2 linked regions of the Neurospora crassa OR74A genome follow. The protein of the gene in region 1 purifies or fractionates together with the protein of each later gene. This does not show direct contact. Links are inferred from orthologs where the notes say so. Each region holds a gene or a part of one and is shown in the gene's direction. Other genes may lie near its edges.

The links.
Region 2: the proteins of NCU07658 (region 1) and NCU03947 purify together in Saccharomyces cerevisiae (affinity purification with mass spectrometry; 3 studies listed by BioGRID, with this or other methods). This does not show direct contact. The link is inferred for Neurospora crassa OR74A from reciprocal best matches to the Saccharomyces cerevisiae genes SEC7 and RSP5.

Annotation. Positions count from the first base shown.
Region 1 is NC_026504.1:421,759-431,686, reverse strand, and holds NCU07658 (protein transporter sec72), read left to right. Parts: upstream 1-480; 5' UTR 481-1,243; coding exon 1,244-2,530; intron 2,531-2,589; coding exon 2,590-7,125; 3' UTR 7,126-7,297; downstream 7,298-9,928. Other genes in the region: NCU07657 (hypothetical protein), read right to left, coding at 8,007-9,211, 9,290-9,428. UniProt on the Saccharomyces cerevisiae protein: Guanine exchange factor that acts as an activator of ARF1 at the trans-Golgi network and is thus involved in vesicular budding and traffic between compartments of the Golgi apparatus.
Region 2 is NC_026506.1:2,202,338-2,212,214, forward strand, and holds NCU03947 (ubiquitin ligase), read left to right. Parts: upstream 1-4,736; 5' UTR 4,737-5,571; coding exon 5,572-5,603; intron 5,604-5,719; coding exon 5,720-5,742; intron 5,743-5,806; coding exon 5,807-5,845; intron 5,846-5,927; coding exon 5,928-6,033; intron 6,034-6,093; coding exon 6,094-6,227; intron 6,228-6,303; coding exon 6,304-8,323; intron 8,324-8,397; coding exon 8,398-8,497; 3' UTR 8,498-8,881; downstream 8,882-9,877. Other genes in the region: NCU03946 (polyadenylate-binding protein 2), read left to right, coding at 1,726-1,851, 1,944-2,200, 2,273-2,537; NCU03948 (amidohydrolase 3), read left to right, coding at 9,487-9,877. UniProt on the Saccharomyces cerevisiae protein: E3 ubiquitin-protein ligase which accepts ubiquitin from an E2 ubiquitin-conjugating enzyme in the form of a thioester and then directly transfers the ubiquitin to targeted substrates.

The DNA of each region.
Region 1 (9,928 bases):
CCAATATGTCCAAAGACAACTGATACGCAAAAGAGATGGGATCCATATCTACAATGGAAGACGGGATTGAATGGCTATCATCGGATTCTTCAAAAGCTGACGCCGGCGGCGGGCTACCAATGAACAGACCAATTACTGACCCATGCGTCAAAAAGAGTATCCACGGCTGCAGTTCCGGCAGGCAAAGCGGCTGGCAGATAGATTGATACGTACGGAGATAAAGTGAGAGGTACGTAGGTACGTGTAGGTACCTGATGGAAGAGGAAGGGAAGTGGAAGGGTCGGGAATGGTCCGTGCCCGCGACACTCACTGCAGCCATCAGGGTCTTGATGGACCCACTCTTCAATTGAAGGCTTGCTGTCAACTTCCACTGTTTCGGTCGGCAAGTCAGCAGTCACAGGCCGCGCGCCGCTGAGTTGTCGCAATCCCATGCTAGACCTAGGTAAGTAGCCTCCATGTTGCATCGTGATTGGCCAAAACATGACGACAACACTGGGGAATGAGATTCAGAGGGGAGGGAGAGAGGGACCTGACCACCTACCGAGCCACCGTAGCAACCGCTCGCCCGCCGACTCGGACGGGACCTACATACCTCTAGGTTACCTTACTCAGCCCGCCCAGGACACGAGGCACGGACTCGGCCTTCATCCCGTCCATTTTCAAAAGTGCAAGTCCAGATTGGCGAAAGACAGCAAGTCCGGGTACCATAGGTAGTGTACGAGGGGGACCAGGGCAGCATCCATTGTCGTCTCTACCGAGCACCAAGTCTGAAACTGGCGATCTCCATACAAGCCCCAGATTATCTTTGATTGTTCCAGAAGACGAACGGAACCCCGAACTCGACAACATCGAATCGAGAAGCCATCCATCCATTGCTGCACCCTGACGAAATACCAAGAGCTGTGAACAGTTAGCCACATAACACATACGCGACATCTACACCTACACCTACACCTACACCTAATACCAAGCAGCTGGGGTGACGGATATATTGGAAATAGACGAACAAAGGAAGCTTACCTCTTTGCTGCCATTATTATTCAGCAGCTCCCATTCCGTTTCGATCAACATAACACGCTACACGACTCAAGAGGAAGAACTGAAGCCCCTCCCTCCGCCGCTTATACTACACTCTCCCCTGTCCTCGACATCAAGAAGTCAACAACAGCCCCCCCGTCAGATGCGCTGAAGCACCACGACGACGAATGGCCATCTGTCCCGCCCTCGGCCACCACCTCCAACCATGAGTTCCCTCAAGTTCGTGACGTCCTCTCTAGACGTCATTGCCGCCAATGCCGGCAAGAATAAGGAGCTGGCCGAATTGGCGCAAAAGGCCCAGGAAGCCATCAAGACAAACGACCAGCAGCTCCCCGACCCCGAGGTCATCTTCGCCCCCCTCCGACTAGCCACCAAGTCCGGCACCATCCCCTTGACTACAACCGCCCTCGACTGCATCGGCAAGCTCATCTCCTCCACCTACTTCTCCGTCCCTTCCGGCCGGTCCGCGGCGGCGAGCGAGGATGGCCAACCACAACAGCAGCAATACCTGCCCCTAATCGAACGCGCCATCGACACCATCTGCGACTGCTTCCAGGGCGAGGCCACCCTGGTCGAGATCCAGCTACAGATTGTCAAGTCCCTCTTGGCCGCCGTCCTCAATGACAAGATTGTCGTCCACGGCGCCGGCCTGCTCAAGGCTGTGCGCCAGGTTTACAACATCTTCCTCCTTTCCAGGAGTACGGCCAACCAGCAGGTCGCCCAGGGGACCCTCACACAAATGGTCGGAACCGTGTTCGAGAGAGTCAGCGCCAGGCTGCACATGAGGGAGGCCCGCGCCAATCTGAGCAAGCTGAAGCGGAGCCAGAGCAGTTTCAACGTCAACGGCTCATCCGACGGTCAAAATTCCACACAAGAGGAGGCCAACGGAGACGATGACGAGAACGTCCCCGAAGATGCGTCCGAATCGCAATTACAAGATGGGGATGGCAACGGCGACGGCCCCAAGCTCACCCTCAAGGACCTCGAGCACCGCAAGAGCTTCGACGACTCCAATCTCGGAGATGGCCCTACCATGGTCACCCAGCTAAAACCCAACAGGAAGCCTGCGAGGTCCGTGTCGGAACAGAGCGTGCCCGAGAGCGCCCAGGAGGACAGCCCCGAGTCGTTGGACGCCGAGGACGAAGTGTACATCCGCGACGCCTACCTCGTCTTCCGCTCCTTCTGCAACCTCTCGACCAAGATCCTGCCGCCCGACCAGCTCTACGACCTCCGCGGCCAGCCCATGCGGTCCAAGCTCATCTCCCTCCACCTCATCCACACCCTTCTCAACAACAACATTTCTGTTTTCACTTCGCCCTACTGTACCATCACCAATACCAAGAACAACGAGCCCACCAGCTTTTTGCAGGCCACAAAGTACTATCTGTGTTTGAGTATCACACGGAACGGGGCTAGCTCGGTCGATAGAGTATTTAATATTTGCTGTGAGATCTTTTGGCTAATGCTCAAGTACATGAGGGCTCCATTCAAGGTTTGTCGTGTGCTGTGCTTTGGTAGGAACAGGGAGGACATGTGCTAACACGCCAACAGAAAGAAATCGAGGTCTTCTTGAACGAAATCTACCTAGCCCTTTTGGCGCGGAGGACCGCCCCCTTGTCCCAGAAGCTCGCCTTTGTCAGTATCCTCAAGAGGCTATGTGAGGATCCCCGGGCATTGGTCGAGTTCTACCTTAATTACGATTGCGACCGAAATGTCGACAATATTTTCCAGCGCATCGTCGAGGACTTGTCCAAGTTTGCGACGTCGTCTACGACCGTCACGGCACTACAAGAACAGCAGTACGAGGAAAACCATGCCAAGTATGGGTCAGCCAGCGAGTGGCAGATGCGCAACGTTTTGCCACCACCACTTACCGTTGCCCTGATAGCCCAAAATACCGACACCGATGGCGATATCCCCAAGGACTATGTTCTAAAGAGGCAAGCTCTGGATTCCCTTGTTGAGTCGCTTAGGTCGCTTCTCAACTGGTCCCATCCAGGGCGCCCAGAGGTCATCACCACGGGAACGGGCATTTCCGAAAGACGGCCGTCAAGCGATGAGATCCGGGAATCCATGGACCCTTCGATCATGGGCGAGTCCCTATCCCGTTTAGACACCCCGACCATGCCATCGACACCGCTGCTTGACGATGACCCCGACCAGCTGGAAAAGGAAAAGCAGAGGAAGACGGCTCTCGGAAACGCTATCCGCGTGTTCAACTACAAGCCCAAGAACGGCATCAAATTGTTGTTGAAGGAAGGCTTTATCCCCGAAGACACGCCCGACGCCATTGCCAAGTTCTTGATCAGCGAGGAGAGGCTGGACAAGGCCCAGATCGGCGAATACCTCGGTGAGGGTGATCAGAAGAACATTGACATCATGCACGCTTTCGTCGACACCATGGACTTCACCAAGAAGCGCTTCGTGGATGCCTTGCGCCAGTTTCTTCAGGCTTTCCGCTTGCCCGGTGAGGCCCAAAAGATTGATCGTTTCATGCTCAAGTTCGCCAACCGATACATGCTGGGAAACCCCAAGGCCTTTGCCAATGCTGATACCCCTTATGTGCTGGCGTACTCCGTCATCATGCTGAACACGGATCTCCACAGCAGCAAGATTGTCAGGCGCATGACCAAGGAGGACTTTATCAAGAACAACCGCGGTATCAACGATAACGCCAACCTTCCGGACGAGTACCTCATCAGCATCTACGACGATATTGCCAACAACGAGATTGTCCTCAAGAGTGAGCGGGAAGCGGCGGCTGCGGCGGGAACGCTTCCAGCACAGTCAACCGGTCTGGCTGCTGGACTTGGCCAGGCCTTTTCCAACGTCGGTCGTGACCTGCAGAGGGAGGCATATGCTCAACAGTCTGAAGAAATCGCCATTCGGTCGGAGCAGCTCTTCAAGGACTTGTACCGTAGTCAACGGAAGAATGCGCAAAAGATGGGCGGCATCAAGTTCATCCCCGCTACCTCGTTCAAGCATGTATCGCCCATGTTTGATGTGACGTGGATGTCCTTCTTCTCGGCCCTGTCCAGCCAGATGCAAAAGACACATAACCTGGATGTGAACAAGCTGTGTCTGGAGGGTATGAAGCTTGCGACCAAGATTGCTTGCTTCTTTGATCTCAGCACTCCTAGAGAAGCCTTTATCTCGGCGCTCAAGAACACGGCCAATCTCAACAACCCCCAGGAGATTCAAGCTAAGAACGTCGAGGCCCTCAAGGTGATTCTTGAGCTTGGACAGACAGAAGGCAACCTCCTCAAGGAGTCGTGGAAGGATGTTCTCCTTTGTATCAGCCAGCTTGATCGTCTCCAGCTCATCTCGGGTGGTGTCGACGAGAGTGCCGTCCCCGACGTCTCCAAGGCCCGTTTCGTTCCTCCACCAAGAAGCGACTCGACGGACTCCCGCAAGTCTATGGCTGCCAAGCGACATCGCCCACGATCAAACACGGGCCCTCAGGGCGTCTCAATGGAAATTGCCCTCGAAAGCCGTTCGGACGAAGTCATTAAGAGCGTCGACCGCATCTTCACCAACACCGCCCACCTCAGCGGCGAGGCCATTGTTCACTTTGCCCGTGCCTTGACCGAAGTCAGCTGGGATGAGATCAAGGTGTCCGGGTCGAACGACTCGCCGCGCACTTACAGTCTGCAGAAGATTGTCGAGATTTCGTACTACAACATGACGCGTGTGAGGTTCGAGTGGACCAACATCTGGGATGTGTTGGGTGAGCACTTCAACCGGGTCGGGTGCCACGTCAATGCCGCTATCGTGTTCTTTGCTCTGGACTCGCTGCGTCAGCTGTCTACGCGCTTTATGGAGATTGAGGAGTTGGCGGGTTTCAAGTTCCAGAAGGACTTTCTCAAGCCGTTTGAGCATGTCATGTCCAACTCGAACAACATTACTGTCAAGGATATGATTTTGAGATGTCTGATTCAGATGATCCAGGCCAAGGGAGACAAGATCCGTTCCGGCTGGAGGACCATGTTTGGCGTCTTTACCGTGGCCGCCAAGGACCAGTACGAGAGCATCGTCAACCTGGCTTATGAGCACGTTCTGCATGTGTACAAGACGCGCTTCGGCGTGGTCATCACCCAGGGCGCGTTTACCGATTTGATCGTCTGCTTGACCGAGTTTTCCAAGAACATGAAGTTCCAGAAGAAGAGTCTGCAGGCGATGGAGACGCTCAAGAGCATCATTCCCAAGATGCTCAAGACACCCGAGTGTCCGCTGTCGCATAAGCAGAACTCGGAAGTAAACTCTGCCGAGATGGCTCTCAACGCTGCCACCAAGCCGACTGGTCAAGAAACGGGCACAACGGTGGAGGAGGGTTTCTGGTTCCCTGTTCTGTTCGCCTTCCATGACGTTCTCATGACCGGCGAGGATTTGGAAGTACGGTCGAACGCCCTCAACTACTTCTTTGATGCCCTGCTCAAGTATGGAGCCACATTCCCGCTTGGGTTCTGGGATATCTTGTGGAGGCAGCAGTTGTATCCCATCTTCATGGTGCTACGGTCGAAGCCCGAAATGTCCAATGCTCTTAGCCACGAGGAGTTGTCGGTTTGGTTGTCCACTACCATGATCCAAGCCCTGCGCAACATGATCACTCTGTTCACGCACTACTTCAACCCATTGGAGTACATGCTCGACCGGTTCCTCGAACTGCTGGCGCTCTGCATCCTTCAAGAAAACGACACCATTGCTCGCATCGGCAGCAACTGCCTGCAGACCTTGATCCTGCAAAATGTCGAAAAGTTCACCCACGAACACTGGCAAAAGATCGTCGACACCTTCTGCGAGTTATTCGACAAGACCACCGCGCACCAGCTCTTCAAAGCGGCCACCATTTCCACCCCCTTGTCAGCGTCCAACGGCCTCGACTACGCCAGCCAACTCAGTCCCTCCGCCGACGGTGCCGACGCCGACACCCGCTCCCTCAAGATCAACGGCGACAACGACGCCGGCTCCGAAACTTCCTCCATCCACCAAACGCCCCACACCAACGGCGGTATCAACCCCGAAGAGGACTCCCATTCCTCAGTTCACAACCGTCTCACGGCTTCCACCGCGCTTTCCTCGCACCCACCCAACACCCCCGGCGGCCAGGGTCTCGAGGAATTCAAGCCATCCACCACCCTTCAACAACAACCGCCCGTCGTGACCGCCGCCCGCCGCCGCTTCTTCAACCGCATCATCAGCCGCTGCGTCCTGCAACTGCTCATGATCGAGACCGTCCAAGAGCTCTTCTCCAACGACTCGGTCTACAGCCACATCCCCTCCCCGCTGCTCTTGAAACTCATGTCCCTTTTGAAGCGCTCCTACCTGTTCGCCAAGCGCTTCAACGCCGACAAAGACTTGCGCATGCGTCTCTGGCGCGAGGGATTCATGAAACAGCCGCCGAACCTGCTCAAACAGGAATCAGGCAGCGCCGCTGTCTATGTTTCGATCCTATTCAGGATGTTCGCCGACACCTCTCCCGAGCGTCTCGCGTCCAAGGCCGATGTCGAACGGGCTTTGGTCCCTTTATGTCTGGACATTGTCCGCGTGTATGTCTCGCTGGAAGAAGAAAGTCAGAATAGGAATATCCAGGCGTGGAGGCCCGTGGTGGTGGAGGTGTTGAATGGGTTTGCCGGGGGCGTTAGTAACCCCGAAAAGGGCGAGATGAAGGAAGGCAGAGGGTTCGGAGAAGAAGACTTCAAGAAACATTTGCATGAGGTGTACCCTGTGGTGATTGAGTTGCTGGGGAAGGAGTTGGGGCAAGGCGAGAGGGAACTGAGGCAGGCGTTGCTGGGGGTGTTGAGACGGGTGGGAGAGGTGGGGTTGGGGATTGAGGGGTTGGTTGGTAGCTCCAACTCTAACTCTAACTCTACGGGGAGGTTGTCGTCGAATCACAGGCGACAGGATACGTTGGTGATGAGTGGTAATGGGAGGATGGCCTATGGGCATGATAGGACGGAGAGTGTGGTTAGTACTATGACTGTGGGGACGATTGGTGGTGGTGGTGGTGGTGGTGGTTATCGGGAGAGGGAAAGGGAGAGGGAGGGAGAAAGAGAAGGGGAGGGAGAAGGGGAGGATATGGCGAGGTAGAGGAAGGAAGATGACGGAAGAAGAAGATACCAAGGCGAGGATATAGATAGTGTAGTGTAGTGTAGTGTAGTGTAGTGTAGGGATGGATGGGGGTAATGGAAAGGGTAGAGCAAAACGGGATCCTATTTCTGTTTCTTATATATATATATATATATATTTACATATATTTTCGGTAATGCGCGTACAATAACTACTAACACAGTGCAACGTAGTTCTTGTAAACACAGTTTTGTTCAGGTCTGGCTTTGGTTTTGGCATGGAAAGGAAAATGTGCGTCTTTAACTAATTATTTTTTTTTTTGTTTTTTTTTTCAACTGCTTAGTTATCTGGCAGACTAGGTATGGTTCTGCTTTATCAACCGAAACATTGTGTGTACGGTATGTAGCTGTTGTGTTGTGCTGTGTTGTGTTGTGTTGTCTAAGAAGAAGAAGAAGAAGAAGAAGAAGAAGAAGAAGAAGAAGAAGAAGAAGAAGAAGAAGAAGAAGAAGAAGAAGAAGAAGAAGAAGAAGAAGAAGAAGAAGAAGAAGAAGAAGAAGAAGAAGAAGAAGAAGAAGAAGAAGAAGAAAAAGAAATCAAATACTTACTGCTTGCTCCTCTAATGATGATGATCGTACCGTGCATAATGGGCCATTAATCAAGTTTCTCTGTGATGCGAGTACTTAAATATTAGATCGACTTAATATTAGAAAGGTACGGTACCCGAGCACCAAAGCTGCAATTCCCTTTGCCTTTGCCTTTGCCTTTCGCTTCATCCAGCCCATTACCGACAACCCATTATCAGCTCTCCTCTCCAGATCATCCTTTCCATGCCTAACCAGCTCGTAACCAGTTCGTAACCTACCCATCCTCCCATTCTCCTACACCGGCCTCCGTTTCGATCACTACCTCATAACCACATCTATCTCCTCCCTCGGAGGCATCACCTCCCTCACCCATCCCCTCAACTCATCCCTTTCCTCATCCACCGTCCTATCCGGTAACCCCTCCAAGCTCTCCCTCAGCAACTCATCATCCGCCACCGCCTCTCTCACAATCTCCTTGACGATATTCACCTTGTCCTCGGAATGGGGCGTCACGCGCATCAACCCGACAAAGGCCTCAAAGAAGTCAATCAGGGATAAATGCATAAGCACATCATTGCGATCGACCATGCGGAGGGCAGCAAAGTGAAGCAGGCCTTGTCCCTGTTTTGGTGGTGCCGGGAGGGGCATTTGCGTTGCTTCTTCTTCTTCCTCTTCTTGTTCGACTCCGACGCCGTTGGTGAGGATGTCGCTGTTGTAGTTTGTTGTCCTCCCGTTTGGACGAGATGTGTTGTGACCGTTTGTTGTTGTTCTCGCCGTAGCATAAAGGTAGTATCCCGGTGTTGGTGCCGCCACTTCGCTCCGAGCTACCTTGTTCAGATCCAGGGCCGCCAGTCTCGGTAAAATCCTCAGTATCCTCCCTTGTGCAAGGGTCAATTGTCTGCCTTTCTTCTTCTTTTCCTCTACGTCGGAAGTAGAAGTGATATTCGTATCTTCATGTCGACCCGCTAGTAAATCCAGAATCAGGCTGTAGACTTGTTGGTCGGCAAATACTCGTCGCCACAACGCCCCTGACCCTTTTTCCTTTCGTAAGACCATATCATGCCATGTAGGCATCCCGGCATCGAGCGGATGTTGTTGTTGTTGTTGTTGTTGTTGTTGTTGTCGTTGTGGTCGTGCCGGAGGGTCGAATTCGCAGTCGACGTCCAATAGGTCACCGATGACTCGCCCGCCTTTTTCTCCGACGCCTACTTCGCTGCTGCCTAGCCAGGTTCTGACGAAGGAATGGACGACTTCTTGCATGTCTGCTAGCTGGGCTACCTCGGCTGGAGCGGCAGCGGCTTTGTGGAGTATTGTCATGGCGAGGATGTTGGCTGCGGGAAAGGGTGATTCGAGCGCTTGGATTAGGGATTCGGGAGGCGCGAGGGAGGTGATTTGGCTGAAGGAGAGAGGGCGGAGGAGTTTGGTCGTTAACGAGGCGGGCGTGGTTGGGTCGGAGGGGGTGGTGTGTAGGATTTGGACGAGGCGGGGGAGGAGGGTGGTGAGGAGGGGAGGGGTGTTGGAGTCTGTTGAAAGTAGAAGTTAGTTTACTGGACGTGTTTCTAGGAGGCAGAGTAGGGAAGAGAAGAGTGGCAGGCACATACCCGTAAGCTGGAGCTCGATGTCGTCGAACAGCTTGGCTTCGAGGGGAGTGGAAGGGTCGGCGATGAGAGCGTCCATGTGCGCCGTGAGGTCATCGAGACCAGTGATGGGGATGTTGTTGTCCATGGTGTCTGTTGGCATAACTCGTTGTGTTCTTCGTTTTCTACAATCTCGATGTTCGCCTTCGATATAGCTCGGATATGGTCAAAGAATCGGCGACGGCAGCGAGGGTGGTGATGATGATGATGGCAAACAACAAAGGGAAGATGTCCAGTGGAAGAAGGTCAGCGGCGGTTCAGTGATCTGCAGCAGCGGGCGTTGGGGAAGCTGCTGGTGGATACCACGGAACAGTGGGGGGGAAGAAGCCAAGACTCGAGCTTCAGCCCCAATTCAGCTTAGCGTAACGAACGCACCCTGGCAAAACCCCTGCTCCCGCTGGAAGAAGTGTGGGGCAAAAAAAGTGACTCCAGTTTTAATTCGCGTTTCGTTATCGATTGGGACTTTGTTGTAAGTTTTTGGAGAAGGAAGACATTCCCGTCCCTTCATCATATTGACTCTGGCGTCAACAACATCATCATCACCTACCTAACGAGACACTACCACTTTGACGATATATCCTACCTGTCAGGATTACACAGCTC
Region 2 (9,877 bases), on another chromosome or scaffold:
TGAATCCCAATTGTATGTACCCCGAGGGGGATTCGAATTGACTGGTCATATTTGCCAGCCGCACCAGCTCCAGTTAACCCCGTTGAGTCTTAGGATATGTTCGCTCTATATCTAAGATAGCGCCGGCCATCTTGCCAGAGGCGTTCCGAAGTTGAAGATGTTCTGGTACTGAATGGCTGGAGATAGGCAACGTGAAGACAATGCCTGCCCTAACTGGTATCGCGGTTTCTGCTGCGCTCGCTGTTACAACGAGACGCACCCACTTGGGAGTAGGGACAGTAAGCTATGTTGACCCCATCAATATGCGAGTAATAGGAGAAGAGTATTCGGTCAACCCTCCCGCGCCTGATGATGTCCTCGCCCGAGGCATATTCTGACGCTGGCTTCGACAAGCGTCCACGCAACCTTGACCTGGCTTACAGCATTTCAACCAGGTGACCGGCGCTTAATGAAGATACAATTGACTTAACCGACTTCTACGTCTGGTCCTTCGTTAGTAAAGAGCTTGATGAATATTGTACCTTATGAAGCTAAGGTAGTGATGGGTATCGAGGGCTTCAATGTGGGTACGAAGATGCCGAGAGAGAATGACAATTGAGTTTCGATCCTCTGTATGTTATTACGATGGTCTTCGGAGTGTCATATCTTGCTAAAATGGTAATCGAAGGATCAAATACAATAATGGAGGGGCGATACATCAATGTGACTGTTTGAGGTAAGTGACGTTGACGGCAGTTAGTCTGGGAAGAGAACTCGGGCAGTACATGTAATGCCTGAACCAAGATGTTGACTGGCAGATAGCTACCAAACACGCATTTAAATCATCAGTTCCGAAACTCTCCCTGCCGATAATGAAAACTTGTAGCTCGCGTTGGGTCCTAAGGTAATGCCGAATCAGATAAGTAATGAAAGAAGTACTGGTTAAACTACCTGCATCTGATACAGAAAGTTCGTTGAGGATCCCAATGACCTCGCGTGAAGCCTTTCACAAGTTCTTGCGCAGTGCAAGTCCAAGTTCCTCCCAAAGTCCCAGGTCGTTATCTCCCGCTGCTCAGGGCACGAACAGGGTGGCACGTGCCCCCTATCTACTTAGGAGCCAAGCAGTGCTTGTCACTACACTCACGCCACCCTCCTTCGGCGTCACCCAGCCCAAGGTTTTGGAGAACCCCCCGATTCCAATTTCCCCATCAAAGCGCACATGGAGAAGACGTGACGGAACAGCTGCAGAAGGCCAAACGACTTTCTTTGCGTCGACCAGGGCCCCGTCTTTCAGTCCGATTGTGCCATCGTCAGCCCCATCCCACCACGCAACAAACACATTCTTTCTCGCAACAAGCTTCTCAAGGCTCTACAAAAAGGCGGTGCTGTCCCGTTCAACTAAAAGTAAGTTAAAGAGTTGGGCTTCAAGGTTCCTGGTCCAGTCCCCTCCCCATCCCTTGCTCCAGCCAGGTCCCGTCTTTTGGAAGGTCCACGGGAGCGGACCCCTCCCCACTTTTGTATTCCTTTTCCTCCACCATTGCATCGGTGACCAACAACCTGACCACCTTGGCCTCGCTCCCACAGCCCGTTGCGCCAGCCTGACCCAAACCACCACTTTTCGATCCCGCTCATTCAGGTTTCTCTCACTGACCTGCCAACTTCAGTTCCTTTACACAACCAGGAGTTGACCGTATTGCACGCGACACAATCGCGACAAGCAGCTCTTCAATCAATCATACCAGCAACATGTCGTCTGTGGTGAACGAGGGGGAGAAGCCCCAAGAGGCCGCTCAGGAGCAACAGGAGGAGCAGCAGCAGCAGCAGCAGCAGCAAGAGCAGCAAAACGCGGGAGACGATGTCAACGATGATGAGGTGCGCCAGCTCCGGCCCAAGCCCAGCGATACGATCCACCGTGTTTGCTTCCACGCGGAGTGCAGGCGCTAACACCAAGTAATCGTGAACAGGAGGAGATCTCGGCCATGAAGCGCCGTGTCGCCGAGATGGAAGAGGAGGCTGCCAAACTCCGCGAGATGCAAGCTAGTCTGGACCAACAGCATCATGAGCTCACCGAGAACAAGGAGGATATCGACAGTCGGAGCATCTTTGTCGGAAACGTCGACTATTCGGCTTCGCCTGAGGAGATCCAGGCGCACTTCCAGAGCTGCGGGTCCATCAACCGTGTCACCATTCTCCTCGACAAGTTTACCGGTCAACCCAAGGGGTACGCATCTCCTCTTCTTTCCCAGCTGATTACCCTCAAGTACATACACTGACGGTGTCATTTATCCAATAGTTACGCGTATGTCGAGTTTACCGAGCCTAGCCTGGTCGCACAAGCCCTTGTTCTCAACGAGAGTGTCTTCAAGGGCCGCAACATCAAGGTCGTCCCCAAGCGCACGAATATTCCCGGCATGTCGCGCGGCGGTCGCGGCGGTCGAGGTTCCTTCCGCGGAGGCGGTCGCGGGGGCTATTTCGGTGGACGGGGCGGTTTCCCTCCTAGGGGAGGCTACCGTGGCGGCTACCGTGGACGCGGCCGAGGAGGCTACGCTCCTTACTAGTTTTTTTTGGTGGTGGTCTGACATACGGCACATGATCCCGCATCCATCAGGACAATCAGAGCCGTATGCGGCCCCTCTCTGACATCCGCAGACACTACCTGGAATTGTGAAGATGGGCTCGATCTCATCTGAGCTGGTATCACTATCAGGCAACCCGGTGTACGTGTTGCTCATGATTCATGGGAACGTTTTTTTTTCTCCCTTTGATGGCTGTAAGATTAGGATATATCAGCAGGGAAGAGGAGGACACTTGAATGGTGGAGGAAGGGAAGGGTTCGTTGTCTTGGCCTGTTTTTGCACCATGGGAGCAATGGGATTTTCAAAGTTTTCATTTTGGCTGCGCGTATCGGCAAGGCGTCAATGGGTGGGAGGGTAAAACGAAGGAAAACGCCAATTCCATATGCTCTTTTATTTCTTCTTCGTTTATTCATGTCACGTTCAATTTTTGTATTTGATATTTGGCATAAGCGCCGCCTACTACTTTTCGGTTCGACATTTGCTACGGCTATGTCTGCTCAGGGGAATCATCAGCGAAGTTGCTTAATATGGGCTGTCTGTTACCGCTAGCCATCACCACATAATGACTAGCTTTGGCAACAATTGAAGCTATCACTTGACACTTCAATCTGCGAACATGTGCTCGAATTAGCGTAGCGATGATACTTTATTCACACCGCTATTGTTGTTCCGACACTAAAAACAAAGAAAGAGAAAAAAAAGAGTCCACGGATCGTCAGATGCCAGGTGCCGCCGCCTTCGCCGCGAACCTCCATGTCAACATTTTCCACCGAAATTGAACGACTCCAATATACAAAGGGCATGCAAATGACAACTCAACAGACACCTGCGCAAGACATCTTTGCTCCGACAAGACCGAAGGCGGTTGTGGTGAAATTCAAAGAGGCTGGTTTTTGAGGTATAGTAGAGTGAGTACTTACCTAGGTAGAAGAGCTATACGCGGATTGCGCATTACCTCTACCACTTTTTAGAAGTGTCGAACAAAGGGCGCTCCACATTTGCTGTCTCGCTTCGTTCAATGATGACAGCCACTAGTGTAGTGTACAAACCTAGTGTACATATGATGGGTACCTCTATGCTTCCATGAACTCCCCATCGTCAAAAGCACCTCAACAAAAAAAGAAACCTCAATTGAAAATCCAGAGATGCAGTAACGCCCCGCAGTTCCGTCGCACGCGAGGGGTATCAAAATGGAAATGACGGGCGTTTATGTCGGTGATGCGCTATTGTTGGAACAGCAGCGTCTCGGTCGGCGGCAACGGGGGTACACTACATGTACTGGGATACGCTAAGTAGCGACCTAACGCCTTTTTGCACCCCGTGCGGTGTATCGTCGTTATGGGATGTAGAGGTGCTGTGCGTTGAATTGTCAAGGTTGAGGTTTGAAGTGTTCACTTTCCTAATTGACTGCCTCTGGAGGTTTCTTCAAAGTTCGGTAGTGGCTTGATATCTGGTAGATCTGCGCAAGATCATCATCATCCCCGATCGTTGGGCTACCTCTTGTGTAGAGTTTTTGGAACAGACAGCTTCTACTACAATCTTGGCGTTTCCTGGAGAGACCTCGGAGCTTGGGGCGGTCGGTGGAGGTGCTTTCCTACCCCTAGTCATGGAAAGGCATTCAGGCCAGCATAGCTACCTATTCTAATTCTCTGTGTCGATGACTGAGCCGTGATCCATGGGATATTTTCCTGACAGGGCATCAACTCCTAAGAAAAGACACGGGACTATGTGATCCATGTACACCAAGGTTGCTCTTTGTGTGCCAATGATGTTGTTGATGTTGATCTCGAGATCTGGATGCCGTGCCAAGCATGGAGTGAATGTGGCCCCCTGGGAGTCTGGGACTCGAATGACCCGACCAACTGCTTAAGAGAAGAAGTCAAGTACCGCACTGTGCGCACCTTCCGCTTCAGTTCTCGCTCTTTGCAGGCTTCTGCTAACTAGTTCCTGGCCTAAAAGTAGTCACTCGTTAATGCGATACCTGAGCTACTAACTGAAAAGTTAAGCTTCTCGCACAGAGCATGCTAGGCCAGCCATACTTTCCCGTTAATGCTGTTGAACCATTATGTCTTGTCACCTCCCCCTGTCTCTTCACCAATGCTAGATCCAACTTGGACTGTCAATTTCTTGGCTTGGGTCGTTGCACCATTGCACCTTTGCAACATCGCAAGACGTCCAGGTTTCTCGGTCGTTTTCCCTCCCATCCTTTGGCTCATCCGTCGGTTGCAACTTAGTGAAGGTCATTGAGCTCTTCACCTGGACCTTCTTGGGGTTGGTCCGTCGAACCCAAGCTCACCCACCCGCCACTTCCAGCAGCTTCACCGCGACAAAACAACGACAGCATTCAACCTCGACACTACTAACTAAAGGTACCCTTACCAGACGAACCTAGACATCCGAGCGAGTTTACACTACCTGCTGGTTGATCCACAGAAGTGGTTTCCTAAGTATCAGACCTGCCTTGCCGACCTTGCTAGTACAGAGATTACTTAGTATTACCAAGCCACAGCCGTCCAACCTTGGCCTCTTGGATTGCTTGGCCTTTCCTTGCAGTTCGCCTTCCGCCGCCGTGACTACCTGACAGCGTAAGATACCCAAAGCGGGGGGGCCGGCTGGCCACACACGCACGAGTTACCAAGAGCAGCACAGCCTCACCACCTACGGGCGCTCAAGAGTCCCTCTAGCTTCCATCTACCACCTACTGCCACCTACAGAATTTCATCCACCCTGCCGCATCCATTCCGTTGCCAGTGACTGCGCGTTCTCGTCAACGTCAGTGTCCATCGCAAGGAGAGTTGGCCCTTTTGTAACAATCATTCAGCCTGCTTGTACCATCGTCGACTTGTCCTCCTTTCATCCCCGCCCCGCCTGCATTCAGCCGCGAGTCCTCGATCCCAAACGAGCGAGAGCGACCGACTACCCGACCCGATTGCGACCAGCCTCTGCTTGGTCCAAGAAACGAGACGAAAACTTAAAGCCCCGCGTGCGAGTTTGTTGACGCGCTCCATCTGCAACAATGACCAGCAGCCGGGACTCGGGGCTGCCGGCGTAAGTTCTCCCACGACTGGACTCTCCATCTACCCATCTTGTCTGCTTTGCGTCGCCCTCAGGGACCGCGGATTATAAGCGAGAGAACAGCCAGCTAACAACCACCACGATTAAAGCCAGCCCAATCTCCGCGTAACAAGTACTCAGCCCCTTTGCGACGAATGTGTCCGATGACCAACCGGTGTACTAACATGCCCCTCTAGTCATCGCCGCCGATGGTCTATACAAGCGAGATGTCTTCAGTATGTTTCTCCCCGTGGCCAGGTGTCATGCATCTTCTAAGCCACTTCCAGGTGGCATATGCTAACCGCATCATCATCATAGGGTTTCCCGACCCGTTCGCCGTCGCTACCATTAACGGTGAGCAGACAAAGACCACCCAGGTCTCCAAGCGTACCCTAAACCCATACTGGAACGAACACTTTGATTTGTAGGTTCGACCTTAACTCAGATTTGACAGCCCAAGGGCCAGCTGGCTAATACAACGTAGCAAAGTGAATGAGGACAGCATTCTGGCTGTCCAGGTGTTCGACCAAAAGAAGTTCAAAAAGAAGGACCAAGGTTTCCTCGGTGTCATCAATGTCCGGATAGGGGACGTAATAGAATTGGCTCCCGATGCGGAAGGTAAGGTTTCACTGCAATTCACATGTGTTTGCAGGTTGACAGCGCGATTTGGGACTGACATGCACCACACCCACAGATCAGATGCTCACGCGGGACCTTAAGAAATCGACCGACAACCTTGTGGTGCACGGCAAACTGATCATAAACCTATCTACTAACCTCACAGCAACTATGAGTCGCCTCGGTCCCCCTCCATCTTCGAGCAGACCATCACTACTCACCCCTCAAAGTTCGGTTATTTCTAACGACAGAGCGAACGAACGTCCTTCATCAGCCATGTCCGGACCTAATGGAACCGCCAATAACATGACTTTGGCAAGCCGACCCGCCAGCCTGGCTGTTTCGTCGTCGTCGACAGCCCCGACCCCCGGGACAAATGGAACAGCCCCAACGAACCCGTCGACCCTCGTTCCGGCGCAAGCCAGGCACCATAGCACGCTTAGCCCCTTCGAAGATTCAATGGGAAGATTGCCAGCTGGCTGGGAACGTCGCGAGGATCATTTGGGGAGGACATATTATGTTGATCATAATTCACGGACCACGAGCTGGAATCGGCCAACTGGCACAGGGGCGGCCGAAAACCGTACCGCCGAAGCCAATACTCAAGTCGAGCGTCAACGGCATCAGAACAGAACACTTCCCGAGGACCGCACTGGCGCCAATTCCCCCACCCTACAGCAGCAGCAAGCTGCCGCCACCGCCAATGCTGCCACTATGATGCATACCGGGGCGACAACCCCCGGAACCGGTGAATTACCTGCTGGTTGGGAGCAGAGGTTTACCCCAGAAGGAAGGCCGTACTTTGTCGACCACAACACGCGCACTACTACCTGGGTCGACCCTCGACGCCAGCAGTACATTCGCATGTACGGTGGCCAGAACAACACGAACGGGACCATTCAACAACAGCCGGTGTCCCAGCTCGGTCCCCTGCCTAGTGGTTGGGAGATGCGGCTCACCAACACGGCTCGCGTCTACTTCGTGGATCACAATACCAAGACAACGACCTGGGATGATCCTCGTCTGCCTTCGTCGCTCGACCAGAACGTACCGCAGTACAAGAGAGACTTCAGGAGGAAGCTCATCTATTTCCGTTCGCAGCCTGCTATGCGGATCATGTCCGGACAGTGTCACATCAAGGTCAGGAGATCGCACATTTTCGAGGATTCGTTTGCGGAGATTTCGAGGCAATCGGCGACGGACCTGAAGAAACGATTGATGATCAAGTTCGACGGCGAGGACGGCCTCGATTACGGCGGTCTGTCGCGCGAGTTCTTCTTCCTCCTTTCTCACGAAATGTTCAATCCATTCTACTGCTTGTTCGAGTATTCGGCCCACGATAACTACACCCTCCAGATCAACCCCCACTCGGGTATCAACCCTGAGCATCTCAACTATTTCAAGTTCATTGGCCGGGTCGTGGGTCTGGCTATTTTCCACAGGCGATTCCTGGATGCCTTCTTCATTGGCGCTCTGTACAAGATGGTTCTCGGAAAGGCTGTCAGCTTGGCGGATATGGAGGGTGTGGATGCCGATTTCCATCGGTCTCTGCAGTGGATGCTGGATAACGACATCACCGACGTTCTTGACGCAACCTTCTCTACTGAAGACGAGCGGTTCGGCGTAATCACGGAGGAGGATCTAATCCCCAATGGTAGGAACATTGCGGTCACAAACGAGAACAAGAAGGAGTATGTCGAATTGATGGTGAAGTGGAGGATCGAAAAGCGCATTGAGCAACAGTTCCGGGCGTTCAAGGATGGCTTCCATGAGCTTATCCCGCAGGATCTGATCAACGTGTTTGATGAGCGCGAGCTTGAGCTGTTGATTGGTGGTATTGCCGAGATCGATGTCGACGACTGGAAGAAGCACACGGATTACCGTGGTTATACCGAGTCAGACGAGGTTATCCAGTTCTTCTGGCAGACTGTTCGGTCGTGGGATGGCGAGCAAAAGTCGAGATTGCTCCAGTTCACGACCGGCACATCCCGTATCCCAGTCAACGGATTCAAGGATCTCCAGGGTAGTGATGGTCCTCGTAGATTTACGATTGAGAAGGCAGGAGAGATTACGAATCTTCCCAAGGCGCATACATGGTACGTATGAATATGGAGGTGAAGACGTGGTGAGGACTTTTGCTAACAGGTTTTTTTTTTTTTTTTTTGTGCAGTTTCAACCGGTTGGATCTGCCACCGTACAAGTCTCTGGAGATGCTGCAGCAAAAGCTTACGATTGCTGTGGAGGAGACTATGGGTTTCGGACAAGAATAAAAGGACAAAAACAGGGGCGATGAATCATGGACAGAGGGACGAATATGGTGATATGGGATATGGTGGTATGGCTGCGATGGCTGCATGAAGGAAAGAACGGTACTGCTACACGAGTATTGGGTGGCATGCGTCGAATTTATGATAGCATCAAGCTTTTTTTTTTCTCATCAATTTATTGTCCGACCCGTTTTGGTTTCTTTTTTGGGGCGAAGTTCATTGGCACCGGAGATTACTACTGTTACCTCGCCCCTCCCCGGTGCACAAGAGCTGTATATAAATGGATTGTTTGCTTGTTATTGATCCTTCAAGTAGTGAGCTTCAGCATCCTGCTACTGGTATACGTTCAAATGTGGTGTTATGGAATTAGGCAATGCCAAGTTTGTGCATACAACGATTACCCTGGAGACAAAGAGGAGGGCGTGTGGTTTATGTTTGTAATTCAGGAACCAGGAGATGGGTTGTAAGTTTACTGCGTAATAGACATACTATCATGTTCCACTAAGGGACCCATACAATGTGCGTCATCCCGTAGGGATACCGGTACTTGCTATGTAAGTCTACACTAAGCAATCGATATTGTAGAGCATCCTGGCTGTATAAGTTATGGTTCTGTCAATTATATCCGCTCCTTGACGCTTGACTTGCCTGGAAGTTCACTTGATGGATCGAGATCCCGGTCAGACTTGGCCGAGCACTTCGGAAGACGTTGCGGCTCCGGTACGCCGGTTGATATTCGCGGCCGGCGTGGGGGTTCCTGCATTATCGCACGGCAGATAACCGGGAAATCTGGATGCATGACAGTGACATCGGGGCAAACATTCCTCTTGTCTCTCCGAACTTTTTGACAAATCTGTTCGGCACATTTTGTGTAATTCCGACGCTCATTTGAGGGGAACCACTTCTATTCATCACATCAGTTTCTCCGTTGCCAACACTCGCCGCAAAAAGACTGCGCGAGGTGGTCACTATCACCAAAGCACCAAGAGCAAATGGCGCCACCAGCCCCCCGCTCCCCAGGAGTCCTCTACTGGGCTCCCCGCCTCTCGCTCGGCGCCTTAGCCATCGCCTTCCTCATCCACCTCAACCACCCCGCCTCCTCCTTTTCCCTCTTCGGCCCCAACACCATCCGCAATTCCGACTCTGCCATCACAGCAAAGACCTACTGCTACACCTCGGTTCTCACCTCCGCCGGCTCTTCTAGAGAAGCCGACTGCTTCTCCGTTTCCCCCGATGGCAGGTTTACAAAGGTGTTTCACTCGGCGGAGGATGTCTTGATTGTGGGGGATAATGATTATTTCGATGAGGATGGGGGGAACAACATGGTGGTGGAGACGAAGGCGGGACATGTTATCCCGGGCATCTGGGATGGCCATGGACATC